Linked DNA regions of Stegostoma tigrinum. The protein of the gene in region 1 purifies or fractionates together with the protein of each later gene. This does not show direct contact. Links are inferred from orthologs where the notes say so. Each region holds a gene or a part of one and is shown on either strand. Other genes may lie near its edges.

Region 1 (3,921 bases):
AGGCTGGACTATGGACTATATATGAAGCTCAGGTAGACAGAATTTTGACCAACAAGGGAATCAAAGGTTACAAGCAGCATTCAAGAAAGTAGAATTAAGTCTTAAATCAGATCAGCCATAATCTTACTGATTGGCAGAACAGATCAAAGGCTGAATGGCCTACTCCTGCTCCTATTTTTTTGCTGTGTTATTAATTCCTTAAAACAAATTGCACTTATTCTGCACCTGCAACACAGTAAAACATTCCAAAGTATATCACAGCAGTGTTATCAAAAACATTTGATGCTGAGGTACATAAATAGAAAAAAAAACTATGACAAATGGCCAAAACTTGATCAAATAAATTGTGTTATGGAGTACTTAAAAAGGAAAAGAGAGAAATAGTGAGGTTGAAAAAGGCAATTCCAAGACTCAGGGCTTAGGCGAGCCAAAGGTACCGAGTGATGAGACAACATAAATCAAAGATATACATGCAAGATCAGAATTTGAGGAGCAGAGATTTCCAAAAGTACAGGTTACTGCAACCATGAGAAGCAAGGCCATTGAGCGATCTGAATACAAAAATGAGAATTTTAAATTCAAGGTGTTAGTGAGACTACAGCCAATCTACATCAGCAGATGGTTAATAGGTGAAAGGAAGGTTGTGCAAGTTAGCAGCAGAGATTTGAATGAGCTAATTTTACAGAGGATGGAATATTGGCACTGTCAAAACAGAACTGGAGTAGTAATGCCAGGAAGCCTTCAGCAACCAACAATGGGTGGATGCATTATCCACACTTGATTTGGATCAAATGTTTTAGACCTTTCATAGTCCAAATTCACTTGAACAAAATCACTAATATTAACTTTTTAAACACCATGAACCAACATAAAGTAAGAAAAAAATTACAAAGGTTATCCAAAAAGCTGACTGACTGTTCAGTGAAAAACCTACACTTGTTTTTTCAGCTCTGTACATCAGGGTAAGATTTCTTTATAGGAATCAACAAATATTGTTGAATATTTAGACTAGCAAGAATCTAAGTGAGTTTAGCTGTGCTGAAGCAAGTTAGATGCTAGCTATCTTGGAAGAAGGCACGGCACAAATAATAAATGAGCAGGACTCTCATTTAAGAGTTGACTGTATTAACAGTACAAGTGCTCTTTTTTACATATTTTGACTCAATAATTGAAGCAAATGTATGGAGATTTATCTAATATTTGTAAAAGTGGTGAAGAGGATTTCTAAGATTACTGAACAGATATCGGCTACGTCACAATCATCAACTCTCTCAAAATTACATCCCTTTCCCCAAACCCCAAAAGTCATCAATGCTTTCCTCTTTAGTTTCAATGTCATGAACCCAAAAGAACTCACTTCCTTACCGACCTGACTAGACAGCCCTGTGCCAACGCTGAAAGAGAAGAGTCCCAAATTCACAATCACACGATGACCCTTTAAAAACCAACTAAATCTTGCCCCAAGTGAAGCCAGAGTATAAGTATTAATCAAAATTGGGAACTCAGCCAAGGAATGTCCCCAATATTTTTGTTTGGCAAATTAAAAGCTCAGATTTTAGTAGGAAGAATATAAAATCAATAGAACAGTGATAGAAAGCATTTAAATTGTGTTTAAATTTTAATTGAGGTGTCATTTTCAATGAGAACTGTTTCCCTGTTTCACATTTCTAAACACGCAGTTCACATCATCGTTAAGTCAAATACAATACTTAAAACAATGTAAGTTGCTGTTCAGTGGTTGAGTTTTTAAACCACAGAAAGAAATGGGAGCTAGGCGGTTGCAACATTCAACTGGCTAAATTTATCTTTTGGTTGAAAATAAAATTAAACATTGTTCTGCATAATGCTCATTGCTATATGTCGCAAAAATCGCAATGACGACAAACTATATGGTAAATCAACGGGCAATCGTAATCGTTCAAATGTTTTACTTCCTCTTTCTCCAACCTAGATCACTAAAACTGGGTGTTTAAATGGAAACAGCTGTCTCGTACCAATGTCGTCGGTTCAAAATGTTAAGCTCAATATATTACTATAGCTGTGAGATTCAAGAATACGATGTCACTATAACATTTACTCCTCCCCGTTTCAAAAATATGTCAACTTGACAAGTCTGGTACCAGAACTTCATTTTTCTTAATTCAAAGAGACGGAGCACGAAAGTACCGCCTTTGTTACATTGAAAAAAGATATGATCATCAGAAATCCAAAGATTTCAAACCAACATGCAGGTTGGCTGCAGTAAGACAGGCTACTAGTTCACCTCTCGTTGTCCCTTTGGGAGCAAGAATCGCGACGATGGACTGACGGGTTTGGTTGTCAAAAGTGAAAAGTGGCGATGGGGGAGTTGAGGGGGATGGGGTAGAGCCTGTCCAACTGCCACTTTTAGGGATTCGGTGTGAACTGTCAGTAAGCATTACAGGCGCTTCATGAGCCTCGATCGTGTGTGCAATATTTCTACTTCCATCCACTTACTTTTTCACATTCGCTTCCCCGTTCGGGATTCTCCTCAGCTTTTTCTTCTTGAGGATTTTCACGGCCCTCCTGCACAGTGTCTCAGAGTCCAGCATCTCCTTGACTTTGCCGTAGGAACCCTCTCCCAGGAGGTCGCCCATTAGGTACTTTCCGATGATTTTGGCCCGTTTCTTCCTCGGCTGGTAGATCACGTCAGTGGAATCTATCCTGTGGATGAAAGTGTCCACTCCCATGAGGTCGTTGTCACTGATGTAGTCAATGACCTCGTCCATCTCGACATAGTCTCTGAAAGGCGCCAGGATCGACTCGGATTCCTCGGGCTCCTCTGACTGATGTTGTCGTTGCTCCGCTCCATGCAGCATCGCCTCTCCTCCCTCCTCCTGCAAGGAGTTCAGTTGTTAGGCAGCCGCCATTTTGTTTACCTGCCCCTGAACAACTCCGGAGTTGCCGTTGTGCGTCATCACACCCCCAAAGCCCGCTGGGCACTATTCCCTCCTCCTATTGGTAGTCCTCCATGTCTGTTAGCTGCGTTACCAGGCGACGCAAAAACAGGTCCCACCTTCAAACGCTGTTCCTCTTTTCCATTGATCCGACATCATGTCAATTATCGCTGTTACCTCACAACCAGCGACAAAGGCCCGCCTCACACTCAGCGCTCGTAGCTTCTATTGGCTGGTTGCTAGGAAAAACCGCAGCGTTTCATTGGTTGATATCTGTATCAATCAGCGGTATAGCAGCAAATCAGACTAGCCCCTGTTCTAAAATTCCGAGCTTCTAATGGTCACCAGCTCACCTCGCGTCCACTTCAGTCTCCTGCGTTAAGGAGTGTGTTGATGATCTGGTCCTAATCCAGGGGTTTAATATAGCTATGAGAGAGAGAGAGAGAGGTGTGTGAGGGTTATTTTTAAATGCTACATTCTCTCAGACTTTGAACTTAGTGCCCTCGGATTTCTGGTGACTTAACAGGACGGTGAGACAAAATTTTTGCTGTTGCAAAGTTTTAAATTCAATTCACAAGTTTTAAAAAAGGTAATGATTTGTCAATTTTATGCACCGTGGCTACATTTAGATTTAAAGTAACCAGTGCTTTCTAATCAGAATTGAAGTTTTGAATGAATGAACGATTTGTTGTCGCATACCGTGAAGATACAGTGAAAAGGGATTTATCACCACAATCCAGTGCTATTTTGAGTTACAAAGGATAAGAAGAAATTACTAAAATGGGAGTTCGTGTTCCTTTCAAGTTGGGGTCTTCAAGGCTTCTGCAAGGTCTCTGTAAGGTATTCCAAACCCGGAGGAGTCCCCCTCCGCCGACCCTGCAAATGCTGCCCTTACTGACACCACTTCAGGAAGAAAGGACAAACAGAAAGAGAAAACCTGAAAAGTACGTCGAGAAAACGACACCTCTGGCCTGGAGTAGATGGGCTCCAATCAGCCTGAACGGTA
Region 2 (3,921 bases), on another chromosome or scaffold:
CCTCCCACCCACCTTCCTGCAAAAATGCCATCCCCGATTCCCAATTCCTTTGCCTCCGCCGCATCTGCTCCCAGGATGAGGCATTCCACTCCCGTACATCTCAGAGATCCTTGTTTTTCAAGGGCTGCAACATCCCCCCCGCAGTGGTCGAGAACACCCTCGACTGTGCCTACCACGTTTCCGCAACTTATCCCTCACACCCCATCCCCGTAATAACATCCAAAAAAGAATCCCCCTCGTCCTCATGTACCAACCCAACCTGCGGATCCAATGCATCATCCATCAACACTTTTGCCATCTGCAATCTGACCCCACCACCGAAGGCATTTTTCCTTCCCCACCTTTGTCTGCTTTCCGCAGGGACCACTCTCTCCATGATTCCCTTATCCGCTCCACACGCCCCTCCAACCCCACCACACCTGGCACTTTTCCCTGCAACCACAGGAAGTGCTACACCTGCCCCCACACCTCCTCCCTCACCCCCATATCAGGCCCCAAGAAGACTGTGCACATCAAGCAGATGTTCACCTACACATCTGCTAATGAGGTGTACTGCATCTGCTGTACCCGTTGTGGCCTCCTCTACATTGGGGAAACCGCTTTGCAGAACACCTACGCTCAGTTCGCAATAAACAACTGCACGTCCCAGTCACGAATCATTTCAACTACCCCTTCCATTCCTCAGACGACGTATCCATCCTGGGCATCCTGCAGTGCCACAACGATGCCACCCGGAGGTTGCAGGAACAGCAACTCACATTCCAATTGGAAACCCTGCAGCCCAATGCTATCAATGTGGATTTCACAAGCTTCAAAATCTCCCCTCCCCTCCCCTCAGTGCATCCCAAAACCAGGCCAGCTCATCCCCGCCACCCTAACTTGTTCTTCCTCTCATCTATCCCCTCCTCCCACCTCAAGCCGCACCTCCATTTCCTATCCACTAACCTCATCCCGCCCCCTTGACCTGCCCATCCTCCCCAAACTGACCTACCTCTTCCCTACTTCCCCACCTATACTCGCCTCTACAGGCTCCATCTCTGTCCTTTGAACTTGTCCGTCTCCTCGCCACCCATCTTCTCCTCTATCCACCTTTGATCCACCTCCCCCTCTCCCTCTCCCCCTCTTCTGAAGAGGAGTCTAGGCCTGAAACATCAGCTTTTGAGCTCCTAAGATGCTGCTTGGCCTACCATGTTCATCCAGCTCCACACTTTGTTATCTCAGTGTTGTATTTACCATTTTTTTTGTCCAGCTGTACTTGTACCTTTCCTTAGGACCAAAAATTTTGAATGAAAACATAAAATTGCACTCTTCGTGCATAATTAAAGAGCATACCAATCACACTCACGTCAGTGTACAGAGGCTGTGACCACGTGACAAATAGTGGTCAACAACAGCACTTGTATTTTATACCGGTAAATTCAACAGCTCAGGGATAAGTCCCATAGCCACAAGTAGCCCTCGGGTACCTTGCGTGATTGGTCATTCTTGATGTAACACTGTAGGTTTGCAGGAGATTTGACGGTACAGGGTATGACACTTTAGCACTATGAATCCTCACTGGGTACCCAACTACTGCCCTCACAACAATTGTTGTCGCATCACAGACTGCAGATCGGATCTGGCATGACCACGATCGATACAGTTTGATGTCTCTGCAGCACAGGGTGGGGAGACCCTTAAATTTGGAATCCATGAACGGAGGAAATGAAAATTTCTGTGGTCGATCATTTTAGCAATAAATGTCTAATAAGTAACAATGATTATTATATAACACAGTGTGGAGCTGGAGGAACACAGCAGACCAGGCAGCATCAGAGCAGCAGGAAAGTTGACGTTTCGGGTCGGGACCCTTCCTCAGAAATGGCCGTGTTTATCTCTGATTCCAGCATAGGCAGTTCTTACCATCTCGAAATGATTCTGAAATGGACGTTTTACTAAAAGCTGATATGAATGTGACTCCCTCAATCAAACGTAAAACAGATTTTTAAACCTCACGTAGATTGTAGCAAGAGGAGAGACAATTTTACTCATCAAGGCTGAAACAAACAACCCTATGGTGCCCCGGGACAGAGCCGAGACAGTTGGACATCAGCCTGGAGAAAGCAGGGGGCGGGGAGTCTCTCTGTCATAGGAACCGCTCCTCAGGCTGGGCTCCGGCTGAGTGTCAGCCCACAGGCGGCAAAGCTCCGACAGCTGCCGGGGGTGGGGGAAGGGGAGTCCGCCCGCCGCCTCTACACGCTCGCCCAGTCTCCCCGTTTCACTCACTTGCCGGCCAGATCCTTGTGAGAGCCACTGGAGTTCATCAACACCGCCAACTCCTGCCTCATTGCCGCCGCCATGTTTCCCCCACCCCCCAACAAGGAGCTTCAACTGGCGGCAAGAGCGTCCTACACAGTCCGTCATCGGAGCAACAGCGCCACCTGCCCGCTGGGGGTCTACTATAGTCCTCCAGAAGCAGACGCAGACGCAGAGTTCAGTGCCAGAGAGCACTTGTGAAATACACGTTTGCAATTTTTGTCCTTTCCCAAATAACAAGGTGACCGTCTTCCCAGCACTATTTGTTCAATAAAACCAGGAATGATGAACTATTCAGCAGACTGGGCAACATCCATGGAGAAAGAAACAGTTACGTTTTGAGTAAGATGTCAATTCTTTGCCATTGAAATGGGGAGCAACGACAGAAGGGAAGGTTTGGGATAAGGCAGATGAGAGTGAAAAAATGACCTGAAAGAAAAGACAATTAGGACGGTAATATTGTTGGAAAAGTCACATTTTGTCAAAAATTTTTTTGTTTTGCACTCAGCAGGACAGTTCGTAAGAATGCCAATTTAAATGTTTTTAATCAACCTGTTTGGAGATGTTATTACAGAGCCCTGAAGCAGGTGGAACTGGAACCCAGGCCTTCTGACTCAGAGGTAGGGATGCTATCACTATAAAACAAGAATACCAAATTAATAGAATAAACATACATATTATATGAGTGGAGAGTGCTGATAAATCAGCATGTAGAATCTGTTTGGCTTTGTTTAAATTTTAAATCTGGCATTAGTGCTTACTCTGGACAAAACACTTTCCCTTACTAGAACCACTCCCTTTGCCTTTTGCTCCAAGGCATTTTGTTAGTCAATTTCTCCCATCTTTGGCCCTATCCCAGACATGTTTCTACATTAACCCCTCCCACATTTCAATGCCATATAACAATCACATTCTACTGCTATCAGTTATGAATAAGTATTTTTTGACTTGACAGTTAACTCTGTTCCTACAGATGCCGTCAGACCTTTTGAGTATTTGCAGCATTTTGTTTTTTATTTCAATGTTCTAACTTTTGCTGTTGTTTCACAGTGTAATGTCTATCAGAACAGAGATAGGACTTCTACAGAGATCAAATGGACTGAAGGGCTATCATCATTAGAGGGTATCTTCCAATTTTATCAAGAAAAGTTGAGTTTGAACATGATCTCTCCTATAATTTACAATGAATAATTGTTTTCAGTTGTGCCTGAACTTTCAATTTCTATCTCAGTTAAAGAGCTGCACATAAAGGGTCAAAATTGTTTGGAAACAATGGCCTTAGTATCTTTGAATTAGAAAGGAAAAATATAAGAAAGGGTTGACATTCCTGATCATTTTCTCTCAATCCTTCCTGAAACTAGAGATGTGAATTAAGATAGAATACAGACTGACTCTACTACTTCTCCACTCACTTTTGGATACCCTGACCACAGTAATTGTCTACGATCAAAGACAAAGAAGATTCATTGTCTAAATGCTGGATGATTGCTGGAACTTACATGATTTATCCGTCAGGATAGGACAGAGCAGAGTAGAAAATGCTTGAATGCAATGAATTTGCTGAATTTAGTGATAGGTTAAAATCCATTCGGTTTAAAATACTGAAATCATTTTACAATAATCTCC

Evidence for each region.
Region 2: the proteins of stk11 (region 1) and cops4 purify together in Homo sapiens (affinity purification with mass spectrometry; 4 studies listed by BioGRID and IntAct, with this or other methods). This does not show direct contact. The link is inferred for Stegostoma tigrinum from reciprocal best matches to the Homo sapiens genes STK11 and COPS4.

What each region holds. Positions count from the first base shown.
Region 1 is NC_081383.1:17,099,185-17,103,105, forward strand, and holds the start of stk11 (serine/threonine-protein kinase STK11), read right to left. Parts: upstream 2,936-3,921; 5' UTR 2,838-2,935; coding exon 2,476-2,837; intron 1-2,475. UniProt on the Homo sapiens protein: Tumor suppressor serine/threonine-protein kinase that controls the activity of AMP-activated protein kinase (AMPK) family members, thereby playing a role in various processes such as cell metabolism, cell polarity, apoptosis and DNA damage response.
Region 2 is NC_081354.1:77,491,765-77,495,685, forward strand, and holds the start of cops4 (COP9 signalosome complex subunit 4), read right to left. Parts: upstream 2,391-3,921; 5' UTR 2,340-2,390; coding exon 2,266-2,339; intron 1-2,265. UniProt on the Homo sapiens protein: Component of the COP9 signalosome complex (CSN), a complex involved in various cellular and developmental processes.